Callithrix jacchus: one gene and its partner. The protein of the gene in region 2 purifies or fractionates together with the protein of the main gene of each other region. This does not show direct contact. Links are inferred from orthologs where the notes say so. Each region holds a gene or a part of one and is shown on either strand. Other genes may lie near its edges.

Region 1 (11,957 bases), on a different chromosome or scaffold from region 2:
AGGCTGAAGTGGAAGCATCGCTTGAGGCCAGGGGTTTGAGACCAGCCTGGGCAACATAGCAAGACCCTGTCTCTATTTATAGTTACAAATAAAAATAACAAAAGCAAAGGCTATGGATGACCAGAGCCAGGGTGGGCAGGGCTGGTGCTCACAGGGACACACGTGGTCCATTCGCTTTATTGGATGGATGTAGTGTTTCATGATGTCTCCTAAGGAACTGGGGGGCACATTTGACACTTATGAGGTCAGAACAGGTCCAGTGGGCAGGGGGGTCCCAGGGTGGTGAATACCCACAGCATACCCCCCACCAAAAGAAAAAACTTGGGGGAGAGGAGCCTGGCAGGCTAGACTCTGACCCCCATGGTCCACACGGGGAACCCCCCAACAGCGGCCTCGGCCCACCGCAGCAGAGCCGAGGGGCTGGCAGGCCTGGCCACCTCCCATCGCCCGATCAGCCTGCTCTAGGGTGTCATCTGGCCCCCTCTTCACAACCAACAACTGTGGATGGGGGTGAATTTAAAAAAGGCAGGGAGGGTGTCGGGGAGGAGGGGTAAGTTCACGAGGCCACGACACACCACAGCTGAGCTGGGAAAGGGTTATATGTACAGGATGGGCAGGGCTGGGGTCGGGCAGGGGAGCCCGGGCCCCTGCGGGACATCTTCAATAAATAAATAGCTACAATAATAAATAAGGGTGGCGGGCTAAGTTGGGAGTGGGGGTCTTGTGCCCATGGCTGGTGGGGGCCGGGTCAGGCCTGGGGAGGTGGGGGGAGGTGGGGAAGAGGGGCAAGGGGGCCGGGTGGCTCTCAGCAGGCGCAGTCCTGGTGTGGCGGCACCTGCTGGTCACTGAGCTGCGGGCCCTGCTTGGCGCCTGTGACCGCAGGGTCCGCCGTGTCCAAAGACTCCGACATCTTCTCACAGATGACGTCCACCAGGCGCTCAAAGGTTTGCTTGACGTTAATGTTGTCCTTGGCGCTTGCCTCGAAGAACTCGAACCCTGTGGTCAGAGAAGGCAAGGATGAGGACCCTGGCCATGCCCCACGCCAACTCCTAGAGATGCCTCTCTCAGCAAAGGGAACACCTGGAGAGTCTTGTGCCAAGCAACTTATTGAAGGTACTGACAAGTCCTGCAGGGAAGCCACATTGAACTGGGTCGACTGCATTTCCTTTTTTGTTTCTTTGTTTTTGAGACAGGGCCTTGCTCTGTTGCTGAGGATGGAGTATGGTGGCGTGATCATAGCTTGCTGCGGTCTTGACCTCCTGGGCTCAAGTGATCCTCCACCTCAGCCTCCTGAAGTACTGGGATTACAGGCATGAGCTACTGCGTCTGGCTTCCTGCCCTTCCTTCCTAAAAGTGTGTCTCACTGTCCTTAGGGACCTGGCAAGACATGCCCAGCCCCATGCACTGGGCCTGGAAGCCTCTGACTCTCAGATCCAGCCGTGACCTCCCCCTGCTCACACACCCTCTGTGGCTCCTTATTGCCCTCCAAAGAGTCCCGGCCTCTCAGCACATGGTTGAGGCCCTCTCTAATTAGCCACACTTCCTCCAGCTGATCCTCCTGTTCCAGTCATGTGAAACTATTACCAAAACACACAGGAGCTTTCTCACCGCAAGCGTTTACCCAAGTTGTTTCTTCTGCCTAAAACACCCTTCTTCCAAGCACTAGAGCCCACTGCCCGCCTCTCCAGGAAGCCTGGCTCCCACCATGGGCTCCTCCTGCCTAGGTCCCTCCCTCCACCCCAGAGGTCCCTCGAGGTACCCCTACCTGCCTCTCAAGCCCAGCACCACCCAACAAAGTGTTGGACGGTGAGAATCAGAATAAACCTTTAACTTTCTGCGCAGCGAACTCCTACATAGCCCTCAGGGTCCAACTCAAATGGCTCCTGGATGAAGGCAAGTTTGCAGAACATGTGAATGAATTACCTGACTTAGCTGTAAGACCTTGGGTTCATGCCCTCCCCTCTCTGGACCTCAGTATCCTTTTTCTAGCCTTGCAGGTCTCTGGCCCGGCTGGGCACTCACCAAGGTGGTCAGCTAGCTGCCGGCCACGTTCTGACGACACCACCCGCTCATCCTCCATGTCACACTTGTTTCCTACCAGCAGCACCTGGGCATTGTCCCACGAGTAGGTCTTGATCTGCGTGGACCTGCAGGAGGCAGCAATGGGGACAGCTTAGAGCGTCGAGGATCCCAGCTCCACCCTGACGGGCTGCTGTGGAGCCTGCGTCCTTGTCCCAGGGAGGAAGACCCTGAAGCTCGGCCCTCCATCCTCCCCACCATCCTTTCCCCTGTGTGCTCCTCGTTCCCCCCACTCCAGCCCCCAGTTGACCCGTTACTGTTTGTGTGTTTGGGGTTTTTTGAGATGGAGTCTCACTCTTGTTGCCCAGGCTGGAGTGCAGTGGCACGATCTCCACTCACTGCAACCTCTGCCTCCCAGGTTCAAGTGATTCTCCTGCCTCAGCTTCCCAAGTAGCTGGGACTACAGGTATGAGCCACTACGCCTGGGTAATCTTTTGTGTTTTTAGTAGGGGCGGGTTTCAGCATGTTGGCCAGGATGGTCTCAAACTCCTGAGCTCAAGATCTGTCCATCTTTGCTTCCCAAAGTGCTAGGATTACAGGCGTGAGCCGCTGTGCCTGGCCCAGAACTCTTTTCAAAGAGTTTTTACTTCTGAGCAGAAAATTGCAATGTTTGCCACCTCTAACCAGCTCTCCTTAAAGTCTCTGTCTCCACCCTACACTTGCAGCTATTTTTTTCTATATGTTTACAGTTTTACTTTTCTAGCTGAAATCCTTCCCTGATCCCTACCTTTTATTTATTTATTAATTATTTTTTAGAGACGGAGTCTCGCACTGTGGCCTAGGCTGCAGTGCAGTGGCGCAATCTCTGCTCACTGTAACCTCTGCCTCCCAGGCTTTAAGCACTTCTCCTGCCTCAGCCTCCCAAGTAGCTGGGAATGGCAGGTACCCACCACCACGCCCAGCTATTTGTTTGTACTTTTAGGAGAGACAGGATTTCACTATGTTGACCAGGCTGCTCTCGAACCCGTGACTTTGTGATCCGCCCCCCTCAGCCTCCCAAAGCGCTGGGATTACAAGCATGAGCCACCACACCTGGCCTATTTCTTTTTTGGGAGCAACTTTGTCTCAGAGACAATGGTCCCAGAATGAGTGTGGAAGGCCAGGAGCAGTGGCTCACGCCTGTAATCCCAGCACTTTGGGAGGCTGAGGCGGGCAGATCACTTGAGCCAAGGAGTTCAAGACCAGCCTCGGCAAAATAACAAAACCCCATCTCAACTAAATATAGAAAAACTTAGCCAGGTGTGGTGGTGTGCGCCTGTAGTCCCAGCTACTTGGAAGGCTGTGGCAGGAGGATTACTTGAGCCCAGGAGGTCGAGGCTGCAGTGAGCCTGGACTGCAGTCTGGGCGACAGAGTAAGACCCTCTCTCAAAAAAAAAAAAAACAGTGAGTGGGGTGTACTCACCAGTCCTGCACAGCATTGAAGGACTCTTCGTTGGTGATGTCATACATGAGGATGAAGCCCATCGCGCCCCGGTAGTAGGCAGTGGTAATGGTCCGGTATCGCTCTTGCCCTGCTGTGTCCTAGAGAGGAAGAGATAGAGATCAGAGAGGACCCACACATCAGGCCCTCAGAGAGGAAATGAGCTCTGATATCACCCAGTTCAGCCCCCTGGGAGAAGTAGGAGCTTGCTCAGGAGCACAGTGTCAGGAAGAGCAGGCTCGGTCATAGTGCTCAGAGTGTATGAGTGCTCCATCATCCCACAGAGTCATTCAACAAACATGTCCTGTGCAGGGTGCTGTGGCTCACACCTGTAATCCCAGTACTATGGGAAGCTGAGATGGGCAGATGGCTTGAACCCAGGAGTTCCAGATCAGCCTGGGCAACATAGCGAGACCCCTTCTCTACAAAAAAATATAAAAATGAATGCGGCATGGTGGCTCACAGCTGTAGTCCCAATACTCAGGACGCTCAGGTAAGAGGGTCGCTTGAGCCCGGGAGGCAGAGGTTGCAGTGAGGTGAGATCGCACCATTGCAGTTCAGCCTGGGCAACAGAGTGAAACCCTGCCTCAAAAAACAAATGGGGCCAGGTGTGGTGGCTCATGCATGTAATCCCAGCACTTTGGGAGGCTGAGATGGGCGGATCATGAAGTCACGGGTTTGAGACCAGTCTGACCAACATGGTGAAACCCTGCCGGGCGTGGTGGTGCACATCTGTAATCCCAGCTACTCAGGAGGCTGAGGCAGGAGAATCACTTGAACCCGGGAGGCGGAGGTTGCGGTGAGTCAGGAGCACACCATTACACTCCAGCCTGGGTGACAGAGTGAGACTCTTGTCTCGAAAAATAATAAACAAACATGGACTGGACGCTGATCTTTGCCACACCCTGAACTAGACACTGGGGACACAGTTGTTAACAAATGGGCAGAACTCCCTGCCTTGCTAAGTGACACCCCAGTGTGAGAAACAGAAAATAACAGGTAAATGTATCCTATATTGGAGGGTGACAAGGACCAAGAAGAAAAATCAAGCCATCTTTTCCAAAGATGGAGAGAATAGAACTGTAGGTTTAAAAACTAAAGGAAGCCGGACTCAGTGGCACGCGCCTGTTCTCCCAGCTACTTGGGAAGCTGAGGCAGGAGGATCACTTGAGCCCAGTTCAAATCCAGCCTGGGCAACAGAGTGAGGCTCTGTCTCTTAAAACTAAGAAGGCCAAGTGGGATGGCTCATGCCTGTAACCCCAGCACTCTGAGAAGCTGAGATGGGAGGATCACTTGAGCCCAGGAGTTCAAGACCAGCCTGGGCAGACATAGCCATACCCTGTCTCTTATAAAAGGAAAAAACTTCGCAGGCGTGGTGGTGCACGCCTGGAATTCCAGCTACTTGGGAGGCTTAGGTGGAAGAATGGCTTGAGCCCAGAAAGTAGAGGCTGCGGAGAGCCATGATCATGCGACAGCAATCCAGCCTGGATGACAGAGCAAGATCACCCTGTCTCAAAAAACAAACAGAATGGTGATGAAGTTGCCTGGGCTCGGTGGCTCACGCCTGTAATCCCAGCACTTTGGGAGGCCCAGGCAGGTGGATCATGAGGTCAGGAGTTCAAGACCAGCCTGGCCAAGATGGTGAAATCCCATCTCTATTAAAAACTACAAAAATTAGCCGGGCACAGTGGCAGGCACCTGTAATCCCAGCTACTTGGGAGGCTGAGGCAGGAGAACCCTTGAACCCGGGCGGCAGAGGTTGCAGTGAGCCGAGATCACGCCACTGCACCCCAGCTCGTGAGGCAGAGTGAGACTCCATCTCAAATGAATAAAAAAAGAGAATGGGGACCAAGATCCAGCTGAAACCGCACACATGGAAGTACTTGAAGACAGGGAAACTGAGGCCCCAGGATTAGGCACTTATGGGAGAACACAGGTGCCATCTGTTTCTGCCCCTGGTACACAGCACGGACTTGCTAAATGCCCAGTGTGTAAGTGAGTGAGTGCAGCCAGGAAAGAGACACATGAGGTTGGGGCTGCTTTTCCAAAGACGGGAGCCCGAGAGAGCCCTCCAGCTGGGACCCACCCAGATCTGCAGCTTGATCCTCTTGTCATTTCGATAGATGGTTTTGACCTTGAAGTCGATGCCCACGGTGCTGACGAAGGCAGGGGTGAACGAGTCGTCGGCGTAGCGGAAGAGGAAGGATGTCTTGCCCACGCTGCTGTTGCCTATGATGAGAATCTTGAACATGTAGTCGAAGTTCTGATCCGAGGACTCCTTCTGCCCATAGCGCGAGTCTGTGGCGGATGCCATCTGGGGATACCAGGTATAGCGGAGCCGTGAGGGGGGCACCCTCCATCCTCATGTGTCCAAGCCCAGGCAGAGGATGGGGAGAGCTCCAGAAAGGGGCCAGTGTATGGAGACCACACTTATCCCATCAGGAGCCCCAGTATTCATTGGTGGTGCCCCCAGCAGAGGGCAGCCTGTGACCTTGAAATCCTGAACGTTTCAGAAGAGGGGCTCAGAGGGTCGCGGAACCCACTGGGAACACCCCAGCCTTCCAAGAGTCCTGTGCTCCAGGTGGGGCTGTAACCCTAAACCCAGGGCTGAGCCCAGAAGGGGTGACTGCGGCTGGCCCCGCCCCCTATCAATCTTTCATGGTCTCAGAACGCGGCCTCGCAGCCGCACGTGCACACGCGCGCATGGACCCTGGAGGACGCGCATCGGCAGCCACCTCTCTCCCAAACCTCCAGGCCAGAGAGCTCCGGCCAAGGCTGCTGCATTATATGATACAGGCGAGGCATGCACACGCTCACGTGCACGCAGCCTCAAACACGCTCATCCGTACATACAGGAGTGTGTAAACGCACTGGGGTGCACAGGACAAAGACACAGTCACCTGCTTGCACACCGATTCGCCTATAGAAATGTGCAAACCACCCGTGCGCACAGGCCCCTCCACACATGCAGGCGTGTGCACATCACCCACAGGGACACGGATCCCCGTGCTTGTAAGCAGAGACACTCATGCACAGGCGGTTCACACATCTTTCTCCACACGCGTGCAACATGCACACACTTAGGCCCGTGGGGGCATACGAGCATATCCAGGTGCACACGCAAGGGTACACACAAACCCGCTGACACAGGCGGGCGCGCACACGCGTGTGCACACCACGCGCACGCGCACGCAAGAGCCTCCCGCGCGCACAGCTTCTCGCAAGGCGCTTGCCTCCCCTCCCCCTCCGCCGCAGAGCGGGGGGTTGGGGGGTAGTGGTGAGGATCAGGCAGGAGCGGGGCGCCGGGGCCCTACCCACTCTCAGCCTCGCGACCGCGGCATCCTTCCCCCCATTCAACCCCGGCCAACCTCGTCCCGCACCTCCACCAGCCCGTCAGTCAAATGAAGGTTATGCAGGTGCTCAGAGCCGAAGCACACTCGGCCGCCCAGGAGCTCACCTTGCACTGCACCGATGCAACGGCGACCCTAGCGGCGGAGACTTTTCTGACGGTGGCAGTGACGGGGCCCCCTGTGCGTTGATGTGGGGCTGCGCGGCGGCGGCAGCGGCTCAGGCCCCTGCAGTCCTCAGTGACGTCCTGCAAAGGGAGGGGCGGGGCCTCACATGCAGTTAAATTCGTGACGCTATCCGGAGGCGGAGCCGCGCGCTGAGATGTGGCCCATTGACGCACGCAGAGCCAGATGGGGCGGGGCTCCTGCGAAGATTGACGCGCAAGTGGGGCGGGCCTAGCGTGTGTATTCACTAGGGGTGGGAGCGGGGCGGGGGCCGACTCCGCCTCGGGGAGGCTTAAGCCCTCGAGCGACGGGCCGACTAGCCAATCAGCGATTACATACTCCCCCCTCCTGTCCAATGGTGGCTTCTGGGCGATTGAAGGGCCGAGAGGCTGAGGCCTTGGCTGAGCCCGGGTCTTCGAGGGGCGGTTCCCTTCCCTGCCCGCGCCCACCCCAGGTAGGGGACTCGAGGCCATAGTCTAGTCCAAGGTGCTGTGACCTCTGTTAAATGCCCCCGACTCCCAATTGCAGAAAAGAACAACCGAGGCCCAAGAGATGTTTTACGCCCTCACATATATGGGGTTCAAAATAAATACACAAGAATAACCAGGGATCAAGAGGGGCCCCTGTCCCATTCCCGAGGCGTGAGACCCCCAAAGAGGGCGGGGCTAGTGAAGACTCCACCCCTCCCCCTTTTCTGAGGTTTAAAAAATAGAAAGAAGAAATAGAGGTCGAGAGAGCCACTCCTCTCCACCATTCCCAGAAAAGGAGGAAGGAGCGGGTGGACTCTCTGGGAACCCCCTCCCCTCCTTGCGCCCCGTCATCAAGAGGAAAATTCAAAGAAAAGGTTTAGTAGGGAAGGAGCAGCGACCTGTGCAGAAAACCCCTTGAAGCCTGCGGTAAATGCTCCGGGAACCCTCCAGCCCTTCAATGCTCAGGTCCAAAGACCCGGGGGCTGAAAGAGCCCCGCCCTCCATTCTGGGAAAGGAAACCTGAGAGAATGGGGCCTTTGGGGAGCTAAGATGCTCCACCGTGTATTCCTCCAAATCTTCAGGGAAAAAACTCAGAATGTGGGGAGGGGAGAGGAGCCCCAAACCCAGCCCCCGTTCCGGGGCTCCTGCGCCCCCTACTCCAGTTTTCAAACCCTCCAGGCGTGTGTGGTCGCCAGAAGAGTCCTGATCCCCTAGATCCTCCCCCTCCCCCCGCACAGTAGGCGGGGCTGGAGTTGGGGTGGGGGGGGAAACTCGTTCCTGTTTATAAAAAGCTCGCCAGCTGCGGAGGCGCCGAGAGACCAGAATAACTTAGCGCCTCGAGGCCCAGCCGCCGCCAACCCTGTCCCCAGCCCGCCCCCAGCACCCTGGAAGTACTGGGACGCCCCCCCCGCCCGCCCCGTCCCCTCTCCATTTGCATTTGGGAAATTTTTGTTTTCTTTTTAGGGTAACATATTTGCTCCCTTCCCCACCCCCCACCTCCACCACTAGGACTATAAAAGTATCACGAATCCACTGCGGAGAAATTGGGAACGTTCCGAAAAACAAAAAATAAAACAAAAAGAAATCCACCTCCCATTCTCCCCGCCCTCGCGCCCACGCGGACACCGGCAGTCCAGTTCGCTCTCTGTGGGGGGCTTCAGGGGAGAGGGTCCAGGCCCGGCTTGCGGCCCCCTTGGAGGGGAGGAGGTTTTAGGCTGCTCAGCTCCCTGATCGCCCAAAGGCACGCTTCCTACATGGGTGGCGCTCTCAGAAATACCTCCTGCCTTTTTTTTCCCCAGGAAGGGAAAAGTCAGCCACGAGAACGTGCAGAAGCTTCTGTCACTGACTTAGTATTTTAAAGTAAAAATAGCCGCGTACGGCGGCTAACGCCTGTACTCCCACCATTTTGGGGGACCAAAGCGGGAGGATCGCCTGAGCCCAGGAATTGGAGACCAGCCTGGGTAACATAGGGAGGCCCCATCTCTACAAAAAAATTTAAAAGCTGGGTGTGGTGGTGCGTGCCTGTGGTTCCAGCGACTCCCCAGCCTGAGGCAGGAGGATCACTTGAGCCCAGGAGGTCGAGGCTGTAGGAAACCGTATGGCGCCACTGCACTCCAGCCTGGACATCAGAGTGAGACCCTGTCTCAAAACTAATTACTTGGCCGGGCGCCGTGGCTCACGCCTGTAATTCCAGCACTTTGGGAGGCCAAGGCGGTTGGATCACCTGAGGTTAGGAGTTCGAGACCAGCCTGGCCAACATGGTGAAACCCCGTTTCTACTAAAAATACAAAAATTAGCCGGACATGGTGGCAGTCGCCTGTAATGCCAGCTACGCGGGAGGCTAAGGAGAATCGCTTGAACCCAGGAGGTGGAGGTTGCAGTGAGCCAAGATCGCGCCATGTCACCAGAGCAAGACTACGTCTCAAAAAAAAAAAAAATAACAGAAAAAAATACTTAATTTAAATTAAAGAAGAATGCAAGCCCTTGATTGTCCAGAGCAGCATTGGGCTCTGGAATTAGAAATGGATGAGCTAGGGGAGGGGCTGTGGGCTTGGGGCATTTTCTGTGTGGCCGGGAGACAGAGCCGTGGGAGAAGAAGGGGCTGTGCTTCCTTGCTGGCCCCACCCACAGGAAAGTCCAGAGCCCTCCCTGAGGCCACACCCGATCTTCTGCACCACACAAATAAAAGTAAAAATTTGGCCAGGTGCAGGGGCTCACACCTGTAATCCCAGCACTTTGGGAGGCTGAGGCAGGAGGATCACTCCTTGATCTTCAGGTCAGGAGTTCAAGACCAGCCTGGCCAACATGGCGAAACCCCATCTCTACTAAAAATACAAAAATTAGCCAGGTGTGGTGGTGCCTGCCCAGGGAGGCTGCTGGGGAGGCTCAGGCATAAGAATCAAAAGAACCAGAGAGGCGGAGGCTGCAGTGTGATGAGATTGTGCCTCCACTGATCTCCAGCCTGGGTGACAGAGGGAAACACTGTCACACACATGCACACACACACACACAAAGGTCAGGCATGGGTGGTGGCTCACGCCTGTAATCCCAACACTTTGGGAGGCTGAGGCAGGCAGACCACCTGAGGTCGGGAGTTCGAGACCAGCCTGACCAACATGAAGAAATCGTGTGTCTACTAAAAATATAAAATTAGCTGGGCGTGGTGGTTTATGCCTGTAATCCCAGCTACTCGGAAGGCTGAGGCAGGAGAATCGCTTGAACCTGGGAGGCGGAGGTTGTGGTGAGCAGAGATTGTACCATTGCACTCCAGCCTGGGCAACAAGAGGGAAACTCCATCTCAAAAAAAAAAAAAAAAGTATCCCAGATAGGGGCCCAGGGATGACTTCTCAGGGAAGAAGACACTAACTTAAAACCCCACGAGCGAGGCTGGGGGCTGAGAGAGAAGCATTCCAGGTAGGGGGCACGGCTTGTCTGAAGGCCTGTGGTAGGACCAGGCTTGCAGTGTGGCCAGAGCAGGTGCAGTCAGTGAGGGGAGAGGGGCAAAAGCCTGTGGCTGAAATTGAAGGGGAACATACGAATATTCATTTATAAAAAATATGAATATTCTAGGGCTGGGTGCAGTGGCTCATGCCTGTAATCCCAGCACTTTGGGAGGCCGAGGCGGGTGGATCACTTGAGGCCAGGAATTCGTGACCAGCCTAGGCAACATGGTGAAATCCTAGCGGTATGTGGTGGTACACACCTGAAGTCCCAGCTACTCGGGAGGCTGAGGCAGAAGAATCACTTGAACCAGGGAGGAGGAGGTTGCAGTGAGCTGAGATCACACCACTGCACTCCAGCCTCGGCAACAGAGTGAGACTCTGACAAAAAAAGAAAGAAAAAAGAAAAGGAAAGAAAAGAGACCAGGTGTGGAGGCTCACACCTGTAATCCCAGCACTTTGGGAGGCCGAGGTGGATGGATCACAAGGTCAGGATTTCGAGACTGGCATTACCAACACGGCAAAACCCCAACTCTCCTAAAAACACAAAAATTAGCCGGGCATGGTGGCAGGCACCTGTAATCACAGCTACTCGGGAGGCTGAGGCAGGAGAATCTCTTTAACCCGGGAGGTGGAGGTTACAGTGAGCCAAGATTGCACCATTGCACTCCAGCCTGGGCAACAAAGCAAGACTCCGTCTCAAAAAAAAAAAGAAAAGAAGAGGCCGGGCGCGGGGCTCAAGCCTGTAATCCCAGCACTTTGGGAGGCCGAGGCGGGTGGATCACGAGGTCAAGAGATCGAGACCATCCTGGTCAACATGGTGAAACCCCGTCTCTACTAAAAATACAAAAAATTAGCTAGGCATGGTGGTGCGTGCCTGTAATCCCAGCTATTCAGGAGGCTGAGGCGGGAGAATTGCCTGAACCCAGGAGGCGGAGGTTGCAGTGAGCCAAGATCCCGCCATTGCACTCCAGCCTGGGTAACAAGAGGGAAAACTCCGTCTCAAAAAAAAAATAAATAAATAAAAAGAAAAAGAAGAAGAGAGAAAAGAAAAGAATACGAATATCTTATAATGGATGGAGAAAAAAAAAACCAAAGGAAAATAAGTCAAAATACTGCAGGTGGATAATCTATGGGTGGTTATAACAGAATTTTATTTCCTTCTTTATACATTTTCGGTTTTTTCCAAATTTTCTACAGCTAACATGTATTACTTTGTGAGAGGACTGGAGGCGGGGATCTTGAAACAATAACAACAACAAAAAAAAAACCGAAATCTCTGCCGTTTAAAAGTCTGGAAGGGGGGCTGGGCGCGGTGGCTCACGCCTGTAATCCCAGCACTTTGGGAGGCCGAGGCAGGTGGATCACGAGGTCAAGAGATCGAGACCATCCTGGTCAACGAGGTGAAACCCCGTCTGTACTAAAAATACAAAAATTAGCTGGGAATGGTGGCGCGTGCCTGTAATCCCAGCTACTCAGGAGGCTGAGGCAGGAGAATTGCCTGAACCCAGGAGGTGGAGGTTGCGGTGAGCCGAGA
Region 2 (11,450 bases):
TTAACCATTTAAAAATATAAAATTCTGTGGTTGTTAGTACTTTGAGAACATTGTGCAATCATCACCACGATCTAATTTTAGAACATTTTCACCACCCCAAATAGAAACCCCATAGCCATTAAGTAATCACCTCTATTTACCCCAACCCCTAATCTGCTTTCTGTCTTGATGGATTTGCCTAATCTAGACATTGCCTATAAATTCAGTCATGCAGTATGTGGCCTTTTGTGGCTGGCTTCTTTCAAGTAGCATAATGATTTCAAAGTTCATCCATGTTGTAGCATGTATCTAGATTTCATTTTCTTATATTGATGAATAATTGGTTATATGAATATGCCACATTTTGTTTGTCTAGTCATGCATTGATGGACATTTAGGATGTTTCCACCTTTTGGCTATTATGAATAATGCTGCTATGAACATTCACGTAACGTTTTTGTGTGGACATTTATTGTTCAGTTCTGTTGTGTAGGTACCAAGGAGTGGAATTGCTGGGTCATATAATAGTTCTATGTCTGATTTATATTTTAAAAGCTCATTCTGGCTGTTGTGTTCTGGATAGATTGTATAGGGACAAGGGAAGAAGCAGGATTAGTTAGGAGGCTACTACAACCATCCAGGAGCTTGATGATGGTGGTTTGGACCAGAGTAATGGCAATGGAGGCAGGGAGACTGGATCAGAGTCTAGGTATACATTGAAGGTGATTTGCCAACAGATTTTATTTGTAATGTGAGAAAAAGAGTAACAGATGATTCTTAACGTTTTTGACTTGAGAAATGAAAGGAGAAATTTGCCATTTGATGAGACAGAGCAAAGAGCAGCTTTGGAGGAGGGTTAGGGCTCTGGTTTTGGGTTTGCTGTGTTTGAGACATCCAAGTGGAGACATTGAGTAGGCCATTGGAAAAACAAGTCTGGAGTTTGAGTACGAGAAAATTTGAGGCTGGGCACGGTGGCCCACGCCTATAATTCCAGCACTTTGGGAGGCTGAGGCGGGTGGATCACCTAAGGTCAGGAGTTCAAGACCAGCCTGGCCAACATGGTGAAACCCTGTCTCTACTAAAAATTCAAAAATTGGCTAGGTGTGGTGGCACAAGCCTGTAATCCCAGCTACTCAAAAGGCTGAGGCAGGAGAATCACTTGAATTCAGGAGATGGAGGCTGCAGTGAGCCGAGACTGTACCACTGCACTCCAGCCTGGGTGACAGAGACTCCATCTTAAAAAATATAAAAAATAAGTAAAAATAAATAAAATTGAGTTTTTAACTTATTGAGGATATTTAAAGCCATGAGAATAGATGAGATCATTTAGGGATAATTCTAAATAGAGAGGAGGAACAGCCCGAGGAAGAAGTTTGGACACCATTAAAATATTAGAGGTCTACAGGAGGAGTAGGGACGAGCAAAGGAGACTGAGAAGCAGCAGCCAGGGAGGTTGGAAGAGGAAACCAGGAGAGTGTGGTGTCCTGGGAGCCAGGGGAAGTTATTTGAGATATTCAAGGAAGAATGGATTTTTTCCCCCCTTTTCCTACTTCTCTCACTAATTCTTTGAGGTAAGGGGCCCCAGGAATGGTGTCCTTTCCTTGAAAGATGAGAACTGCTGTTTTGAATTCCCAGAGTCATCCTTCATGAAGGCAATTAAGCTAAAAAAGATTTCTGGTCACTTGAATACTGTCTTCTAGACATACTGCTTATTTATGGTTGTATCTCAGCCCCACTGAGGGCATTTATTCAAGAATTCAGTCAATAAAAATACTTGGGTACACACTCTATGCTAGTCTCTCTTCAAGGCATTGGGAACACATTGGTAAATAAGATATGTGGTCACTGGTCTTATGGAACTTTGCCGAATGGAGGAGAAAGACATTAATTTGTTTAAATTATTGAACAAAATAAATAATTTGTTTAAAAGACATAAACAAATAGTTACATATGTGGTGACTGTTGGTAAGAAATCAGGATGCTATGGGAGCACAGAGGAAGCTTACTAATCCAGATTTAGGGTAGGGGCGTGGCCTGAGAGACATGGAGGAATTGACATATAAGGAGAGATCTGAAGAAGGAGTAGATTTAGCCAGGTGAAGAAAAGTGGCCATTGTGAAAAGAACATCCTAGGCAGATAAAAGAGGGAAGATGGAGAGCTTCAGGATATTCAGAGAACCAAAATAGCTTCATCTTTCTGAAATATAAAGTTTGAGGAGGAGTGGGGGTGAAAGATGAGAGTGGAGAAGGGTGGCAGGGGCCAAATCATGTGGATATTCTTGCCATGCTAAGGAGTTTCAGCTAAATCCCAAAAGCAATGGAAAACTGCTCAAGAGTTTTAAAAGTATACTGAGGCTGGGTACAGTGGCTCACGCCTGTAATCCCAGTACTTTGGGAGGCCAGGGCAAGTGGATCACCTGAGGTCAGGAGTTCAAGACCAGCCTGGAACATGGTGAAACTCCATCTCTACTAAAAATACAAAAAATTAGCAGGGTGTGGTGGTGCATGCCTGTAATCTCAGCTACTTGGGAGGCTGAGGCAGGACAATTGCTTAAACCTGGGAGGCAGAGGTTGCAGTGAGCTGAGATGGCGCCACTGCACTCCAGCCTGGGCAATAAGAGTGAAACTTCATCTCAAAAAAAAGAAGTATTCTCAGCTGGGCACCATGGTGCATGCCTGTACTCCCAGCTACTCAGAAGGCTGAGGCAGGAGGATCACTTGAGCCTAGGAATTAGAGACTATAGTGCACTATGATGGCACCTGTGAATAGCCACAGCACTCCAGCCTGGGCAACATTGCGAGACCCTATTTCTTAATTAAAATTATTATATGTTTAAAGTACACCCATGTTTATTTTAGAAAAATCGCTCAGGCTACAATTGTGAACGGATTGGAAAGAGGCCTGACTAGAGGTAGAACCTGCTTCCTTTCAATATTGGCTCTTGGTTTTTATTGTAGTGTGCTATTTGAAGTGCCAAAGCTGAAAAGTGGAAAGAGTGCATTGGAAACTGAGAGTGAGAGTCTGGATAGCTTCACAGCTGACTCAGATAGCACCTCCAGGTGAGGTTTCCTCATTTCTCTCATCTCCACACTACCCAAGTTGCGATTTTGTTCTGCAGCATCAGTGTTCCTGACTTCTGTCCTCAGGAAGTTGAATGGAGTATTTCCTCTGACCTCACCAGAAGTCTTTTCCGTAGCACGTGTACTGATTTGGCTCTGAGCACAGCTTCCTGGATCATATTGGCTTCCCCAGTCAATTCCCCCAGTACCTTGGAGTATTCTTCTTAGCCCTGTAGCAACTGATGCTGCTGTCCTTTAAGAATGAGGGATCTGAGTGTTTGTGTTTGTGCAAAGTTGCTTATCTGATCTTCTGCATTCCTTCCAGGTAAATCAGATGTGAAGTATACCTTCTGAATTTGGTTATTACCATGACCCAAGGCACTGGCTTTCCTTCCATAGAGCTTTGATCTCTGGGTGCAAGGGGAAGGGGAGGAGGTGACTTAGTTATAACTTGTGAATCTATCTCCAGGAGAGACTCTCTGGAAAAATCTGGCCTCTTTCCAGAATGGAAGAAGATGTCTGTTCCCAAATCTCAAGTAGAAAAGGTAAGCTGCAGGTTACTGAGCCACCTTCCTTCCCTCCCTTCCTTCCCTTCCTCCTTTACCTCCCTGTCTCCCTCCATCTTTCCCTTCCTCCCTCCCCTTCATTCTTCTCTTCCTCTTTCTTCCCTCCCTCCCTCCATTCTCTTAGGCAGAATTTGAATCAGGAATTTAACTAAACAAATTTCAGTTCAGAGTCACTTGGGAGCATTTTCTAAGGTTTTGGTTGAAATGTGTGAGAAAATAGGTTTTGTACTATTCCTAGGCACATAATCTTTCCTTTAAGTTTGTCATAGTTTCGGGAAAATCTGAGCCTCATTCTTCTTAAGGCTATCCTTCCTTACTCCTTCTACCTGTCCATCTGTCCTTTTCCATTTTCGTGCCCTTGTTCCTTTCTAGGAAACTCAGCCTGGATGTCAAAATGTGGTATTTGTGGATGAGGGTGAGATGATATTTAAGAAGAATACCAGGAAAATCCTCAGGCCGTCAGGTAACTGGTTTCCCTTACTGGTCTTTTGGGACTAAAGTTCTGAGTACCCTTGATGGGCTCTTGGTAAGGAGAAGAATAGGTTTCTTCTGATTTGGCTTTTTGGTTTTCTCCTCAGAGTACACCAAGTCTGTGATAGATCTTCGCCCAGAAAGTGGCCCCTTGGGAGACAGAAGCAAATCTGTCCCAGGCCTCAATGTAGATATGGTAAGTGCCCTTGTATTTTACTGTCACTATATGAAATTTTATTTATCTAGATTTGGCTTTAGTACCTGAGATTCTCAATCAACCTATTTAATTCTTTAGGAAAAGGCAACATGAAACTTGATACCCCAAATTTCTGAAGTAAATCTGGTTCCTGATTTGCTTAAAGGAAAGGACTGTCTTTGCTATCTCTTTTCTTTCTTTCTCTTTCACAGTGTCTCACTCTGTTGCCCAGGCTGGAGTGTAATGGCACAATTATAGCTCAGTGCCACCTTGAACTCCTGGGCTCGAGCTGTCCTCTCACCTCAGCCTCCTGAGTAGCTGGGACTTTAGGCATGAATCATCATACCTGGCTAATTTCTTTCATTCATTTTTTTTTTTTTTGGGAGAGATGGGTGTCTCACTATATTGCCCAGCCTAGTCTGGAATTCCTGAGCTCAAGTAATCTACACTCTTCTGCCTCCCAAAGTGTTGGAATTACAGGCATGAGCCACCATGCCTGGCCATCTCTTTTATTTTCTAATAAATTGCTGGATATATGACTGGGGATCAAATAAATACTTCTCTTGGTTAAAATATAAAGAGATAGCTGGGTTGGGGAAAGTCTAATGGAAAAGAGTTATAGCTTTTATGAAAAACATTAAATATTCTTATCTTATTCTTTGAGATATGAGAAGGATGGTTGGAATAGAGCTGGGAAGCCTGAAATGGGAAGACATATAAAAAGAAGAATATGTGCATATACATACAACTCGGAGCTTTATGACAATTATGGCTCCCACTAAAGGAAAGGTGTTAGTCTTTGAAGCTAAAGAAAGGTATTTCTTTTATTAATTCTGAATCTATATTGTTCTAGGAAGAGGAAGAAGAAGAAGAAGAAGAAGAAGAAGACATTGACTACTTAGTGAAGTTACATCGCCAGAAGTTAGCCAGAAGCAGCATGCAAAGTGGCTCCTCCATGGTAAGTTCTATTAGATCTGTGGGTATAGGCATATTGGGGTGCTAGGAAGAAAAGAAGCACCTCCCTAGAGCAGACTCGGGACCTGGGGAAACCATCCTAGTCACTCTTTTCAGGTAAGTAAGATGCGTTTGTTTGTTCCTATCCTCAATTTAGACTATAGATGCTTAGTGTACATCTAGGTGACTTCCTGAGTCCCCATCCTGGAGATTATTACATATAGATAATTAAGGCTGGGGACATTCTTCATCACAGCTTTGTGAGCAATAACCTCAACTTATCCTTTAAAGAGGTACCCAGGCTGTGAAGTGAGCAAGATCAGATTTCTTCATCATAGCGCACTCTAAATTCCCAACATTAAAGGAAAGTGAGTGTCATGAGAGGGGCCCTGGCAGGGTTAGTCAACATCAGGGTATGGCTAACAATCAACAACACCAGTAAGGATAATGAAGTTAAGGGAACATTTATGAATCAGGGCCTGGTTCTGTTATAAGCATGGAGATTGATATTTAGGGAAAGAGTCAAGAACAAGAGTAAACAGAGTTTGTTCACATTCACAGGAAGAGAAGGTCAGCTCACAAGACCAATTACTACCAGAAAGGAAGGTGCCTTTTCACTTCTGGTCGGGTTTCCTCCTTCCCACTCACTCCCAATTCTGGCTGAATCTCTTTTCTCTATAGGTCCTGATAGACATAAGGTGGATAAGAGAAACCCACCTTGTTTTAGTTAGTGACTAACACCATTCTAGCCGATGTTTTAGTGTATATAACACAGTTCCCAAATGGACTTACGTGCACCTTGCCTCTGCTCCCTGCCCGCCTCCTGGGGCAGATGAAAATGAACACTAAAATTTGTACAACCAGGAGAAGAAGAGAAGCTAAGAGGCTAGGTGAGCCATGAACTGATTTATTCACCTGAACAGTTATGAGTCCTGGTAGTTCTCTTTTACCCTCTGGGTCAAGGAGTGTGGGCAGCACTGGATCATTGCAGGGGCTTCTGAATCTTCTGTTCAGTGACTGTGGCTTTATCATGAGGGAAGATATGAACAATGTGGCGGGGGTGGAGTGTGCCTTCCCCAGATGTTCGTGAGTGCTTTTTCTTCAGAGTACAATCGGCAGCATGATGAGCATCTACAGTGAAGCTGGTGACTTCGGGAACGTCTCTGTGACTGGCAGGATTGCCTTTTCCCTGAAGTATGAACAGCAAACACAGAGTCTCGTCGTCCATGTGAAGGAGTGCCACCAGCTGGCCTATGCTGATGAAGCCAAGAAGCGCTCTAACCCGTGAGTGCTTCTGGAACCTGACTGATGCTCTGAGACTGGAGAACAGACCCCAGCATCTGTCTGGGCACTCTTGAACAGAGCTTATCCCTTTCCTTGGGAGCAGGGAGGTGTGATGTAGGAAAGGAACCAGGATTGGGGAAAAAGCAAGAATGGCATGTCTAAGAGGGCTTGAGGTGACATTTTTGACATCACATATCACCATGCCATATTCATATGGAGAGCAGGAAAGTGAAGAGCAGGCTTGAGAAAGGCCAGCAAATTACTCAGTATACTCTTTGGTTTCTAGGTATGTGAAGACTTACCTTCTGCCTGACAAATCCCGCCAAGGAAAAAGAAAAACTAGTATCAAGCGGGATACCATTAATCCACTATATGATGAGACCCTCAGGGTAAGTATCTAGACCCCAAGGGTAGAAGAACCTGTTTTGTCTTGTGCCCGAGGCTGTAACTATTCCTCTGCAACATGGCCAGGTGACATGAGTTTCAGTGGGCCATGTCTGTGTGTGAGGATACATTGGGTACCTGTTCACATCCTGATTTCCCAGTGAAGAGAACAAAGGTGCTCCGCCTTTCCTGGATTGTTGTGAAGTTGGAGATTCACATGGCCACAAATCTCATTTTAAAAAGACATTTGAGATAAGGAATCTCCTTGTCAGTTGTTTTTGGACGACTCAGTATTCTCTCACCTACTCAAGGAAAATCTAATTTTCCAGATCTTCCTATGGAATATGGTAGGTTTTTTATAAAATGAGGTAAGTTGAGGCTTTGAGTGAGGAAACTCAAAGTGCTTAGGGAATATAAAGGAATTTGGTATTCAGGACTAGTGACTTCAGGAATGGTTGCTCAGGTTTTGGAATATTCTTGTCTGAGGAATTATCCTAAACTAATAATCATCTTGGGCTTCTACTTTCCCTTCCCAGTATGAGATCCCAGAATCTCTCCTGGCCCGGAGGACCCTGCAGTTCTCAGTTTGGCATCACGGCCGTTTTGGCAGAAACACTTTCCTTGGAGAGGCAGAGATCCAGATGGATTCCTGGAAGCTTGATAAGAAACTGGATCATTGCCTCCCTTTACATGGAAAGGTAGTCTGCTTTAATAACTCATGCAGTTTGGATTTGAGGTAGAATTGTCTGCAGTAGCCTCTGCTGGTCTATGTTGGTAGTGTCTTTGAATGTAGTCTTCTCTGGAGTTCTAGTGTCCCCTGCTGGTGTTTCTGAGTTTGACAGCAATTTCAGAGGCATTTGTACATCCAGCGTGCTGTGTAAATCAGGCAAAGTATGAAGCCATGGTTTTGCTTTGAAATAATGTTCATATGTGTCCTAAGCTTTGCCTCCTAACCTTCCAGAATCTGGGTGTATCCTAACATCCTAACTCACACCTCTTCTCCAAGCTAACCTTCTGTGTATATCCTAATCTGCACCCTTTTGCCAAGCTACCGCTTTACTTCCAAGGGGGAAGTAAAGCAGTTCATGGAGCTCCAATTGCTATACTCTTGGTCACAGAGGCCAGGGAAAATATAACTTTGGAGATGGCAATTCGGGCCAGAGTGTAGCAATATGGCATAATCACGCCTGGGATCTGAGTGCAGACCTGTATTGGAATCCTGGTTCTGTCACTTGCCAACTATAGATGAGTCACTTACCTTATAAAATAGGGTAGAGAAATCATCTGGTTAAGATGAAATTGCTAAAACAGGGGACTTATTTAGCAACTTCTCGATTATCAGAACTATACAATGATATGACAAAGTTCATCTTTAGTTTTTTTTACACTAGCATTTTAAATGTTTAAAACAATACATGGTCCATAAACTATCTTTGGGAAGTTAGATGAGAAACTAGTCATGGTGGCTGCCTCTAGGAATGGAGACTGAGGTAGAAGGAATATTTAGTTGTCTCTATATCCCCCTTTTAAGCATTTGAACTTTTAACCATGTTAAGAAAATTAAGCCAAAATGGACTTATATACACAAGGTTCAAAATTAAAATAATGTAAAGTATATTAAATGGAAAGTAGGTTCCATTCCCTAGAAATAATCACTGTTAACAGCTACTTGTGTATCTTTCTAGAAATTTTGTATGGCCGGGTGCAGTGGCTCATGCCTGAAATCCCAGCACTTTGGGAGGCGGAGGCAGGTGGATCACCTGAGGTCGGGAGTTCGAGACCAGCCTGACCAACATGGTGAAACCCCATCTGTACTAAATACACACACAAAAAATAGCTGGGCGTGGTGGCACATGCCTGTAATCCCTGCTACTTGGGAGGCTGAGGCAGGAGAATCGCTTGAACCGGGAGGTTGAGGTTGCACTGAGCCAAGATTGCGCCATTGCACTCCAGCTTGGGCAACAGAGCAAAACTCTGTCTCAAAAAAAAAAAGAAAAAGAAAAAGAAAAAAAGAAAGACATTTTGTATTAAGCAGCCCAGATATGCATCCGTGTATTTATATATATATATATATATATATATATATATTTTTTACACAAACGGTCTCACATGAACCTCATTGTACACATCTCTTTTTTTTTCGTTTAACAATATATCATGGACATCCTTTTGTGCCATCACTTAGAGATCTATCTCATTTTAATTGTCGCTGCATGGTATTTTTTCATGTGCCTGTATTACAATTTGTTTACCATTCCCCCACTAATAGACATTTAAATTGTGTGAATTCCTTTTTGCTCTTAAAACTATTCTATAATATATTTTGGTCTTCTTTTGTGAATGTAACTGTCAGAGAAATTCCTGTTGGTGGAATTGCTGAGTGAAGGGAAATATACATCTAATATTTTGATATCTGTTGCCCTTGCAAAAAAAATAGTGACAACATTAAATTTTCCCTTTAAATACTAATAAAAACAGGAATGCATTCAATAGCACAGTAAGATGATGATAGTCAACAAAAATATGTGTATTTCAAAATAGCTAGAAGATTTGAAATGTTTCCAATGCAAAGAATTGATAAATGTTCAAAGTGATGGCTATAACAAAATATCACGTGTACCCCATAAATACATGCTAGTATTATATATCAATAAAAAGACAGGAAAGAAATTATTACCAAACTATAACATATTATTACAAATTTAGAATTTCTTAACCATTTGGCACCCAAGTCATTCTCTACAGTCAATATAATTACATTGGAAATGTTGCTGTAAACCATCATGAACTACTGCGAATAAAACTGCTTTATATAAAGAGAAGAAACCACATTAACATGGTGATATTTGCTCTTTGCAAATATTTGGAGCCAGAATAAAAATGTGCTACTGAAACAAATATACCAGTTTTTAGCTAATGCTAAACTCCAATGAGAGTCCACTGAAACTCACAGAAATTTTCTAAAACATTTTCTAGAAATGAATAAATTGTGTAGACATTTTATAAACAACCAAAAAAGCCATCCCCATATTATGTATTGATTTTAATTTCTACATTTGTCATTTATGGTTTTCTTTTCATTTTTCCCCTAGCGATCCATTTGCTCCCATGCAGTTTTCCCTTGCCTGGATCAATCTCCTGATTCTTTTGTGTCTCTCACATATATTAAACTATATCTTCTGAGTATGGTACATTGATCCAGACCTATGGATTATTGGCTTCCCAGCATTGGTGAGGACCTAGGTTAGCCAATTAACACAGGCAAGGCCAGGCGTGGTGGCTCATGCCTGTAATCCCAGCACTTTAGGAGGCTGAGGTGGGTGGATTGCTTGAGCTCAGGAGTTCAGGACCAGCCTGGGCAACGTGGTGAAACCCCATCTCTACAAAAATTAGCTGGGTGCGGTGGTGTGTGCCTATAGTCCCAGCTGCTCGGAAGGCTGACACTGGAGAATCACTTGAGTTTGGACTCAGGTTACAGTGAGCTGAGATCGCGCCATTGCATTCCAGCCTGCCTGGGCTGTGGGAGTAAAACACTGTCTCAAAAAAATATATATATATACAAGCAGGTAAAAGGGCATCTCTAGTCTGCACCAGCTCATGCTCTAGATATTGAAGCATAAGGAACAAAGTCATTCAGAGAGAGCCAATTAGAGTGAAGCAGCTCTGCCAACCAAAGCCAAAGACAATAGGCCACCTGCTACTCATCCCATTCATTCATTCATTCATTCAGTAAATATTTATGGAGCACCTGTGCCAGGTACTTTGCTAAGTGTTGGACATACTTGGATGAACAAAAATAGGCTTCATTCCTGTCTCCTGGCCCTTCGACTTGAATGGTAGAGACAGACGTTGATCAAAGATAACTTAAATAAATGTAAAATTTATAATTGTGGCATATTCAAATTCGTGTAACAGAGTTTCACCTGGCCTTCAAATCTTTGCAAGCCCTCTTTTTTTCTTTTTGATGGGGAGGGACAGGTTCTGGCTCTGTTGCTCGGGCTGGAGTGCAGTGGTGTGACCTTGGCTCACTGCAACCTCCGCCTCCTGGGTTCAAGTGATTCTCATGACTTAGCCTCCCAAGTAGCTGGGATTACAGGCCCACACCACCACATTAGCTAATTTTTGTACTTTCTGTAGAGATGGGATTTTGTCATGTTGCCTGGGCTGGTCTTGAACTCCTGGACTCAAGCATTTGCCCACCTCAGCCAACTGCTGGGATTACAAATGTGAGCCACTGCACCTGGATGAACGTCCTCCTTTTTTTTTTTTTTTGCAAGCCCTCTTTTTAAAAATACGTTGTGTTTTTAAAAATCATACAAATGATATAAACTATTCTCATTAAAAAGACACTAAATGTGAATATAGAGTGAAAAAGTAAAAGCATTCTTTCCTTTCCCTATTCTGTTCCCCTCCCTAGAGGAAGTGAGGATAAATTTGTCCGAATCTTGGGTTTTTCTATGCAGTGTAGTATAGTCTTCAAAAGCATGGACTCTGGAACCAGTCTGTCTGAATTTGAATCCTGGCTCTGCCAATTACTGTGTGACCTTGAGCAAATT

The links.
Region 1: the proteins of SYTL4 (region 2) and RAB3A purify together in Homo sapiens (affinity purification with mass spectrometry; 3 studies listed by BioGRID and IntAct, counting the BioPlex papers as one, with this or other methods). This does not show direct contact. The link is inferred for Callithrix jacchus from reciprocal best matches to the Homo sapiens genes SYTL4 and RAB3A.

The regions. Positions count from the first base shown.
Region 1 is NC_133523.1:16,907,806-16,919,762, forward strand, and holds RAB3A (ras-related protein Rab-3A), read right to left. Parts: upstream 7,099-11,957; 5' UTR 6,880-7,098; intron 5,814-6,879; coding exon 5,586-5,813; intron 3,601-5,585; coding exon 3,482-3,600; intron 2,148-3,481; coding exon 2,023-2,147; intron 997-2,022; coding exon 806-996; 3' UTR 143-805; downstream 1-142. UniProt on the Homo sapiens protein: The small GTPases Rab are key regulators of intracellular membrane trafficking, from the formation of transport vesicles to their fusion with membranes.
Region 2 is NC_133524.1:96,990,606-97,002,055, reverse strand, and holds part of SYTL4 (synaptotagmin-like protein 4), read left to right. Parts: intron 1-2,937; coding exon 2,938-3,039; intron 3,040-3,508; coding exon 3,509-3,584; intron 3,585-3,977; coding exon 3,978-4,068; intron 4,069-4,183; coding exon 4,184-4,272; intron 4,273-5,125; coding exon 5,126-5,230; intron 5,231-6,331; coding exon 6,332-6,510; intron 6,511-6,796; coding exon 6,797-6,899; intron 6,900-7,430; coding exon 7,431-7,592; intron 7,593-8,579; coding exon of another isoform or gene 8,580-8,810; exon of another isoform or gene 8,811-8,939; intron 8,940-11,450. UniProt on the Homo sapiens protein: Modulates exocytosis of dense-core granules and secretion of hormones in the pancreas and the pituitary. Interacts with vesicles containing negatively charged phospholipids in a Ca(2+)-independent manner.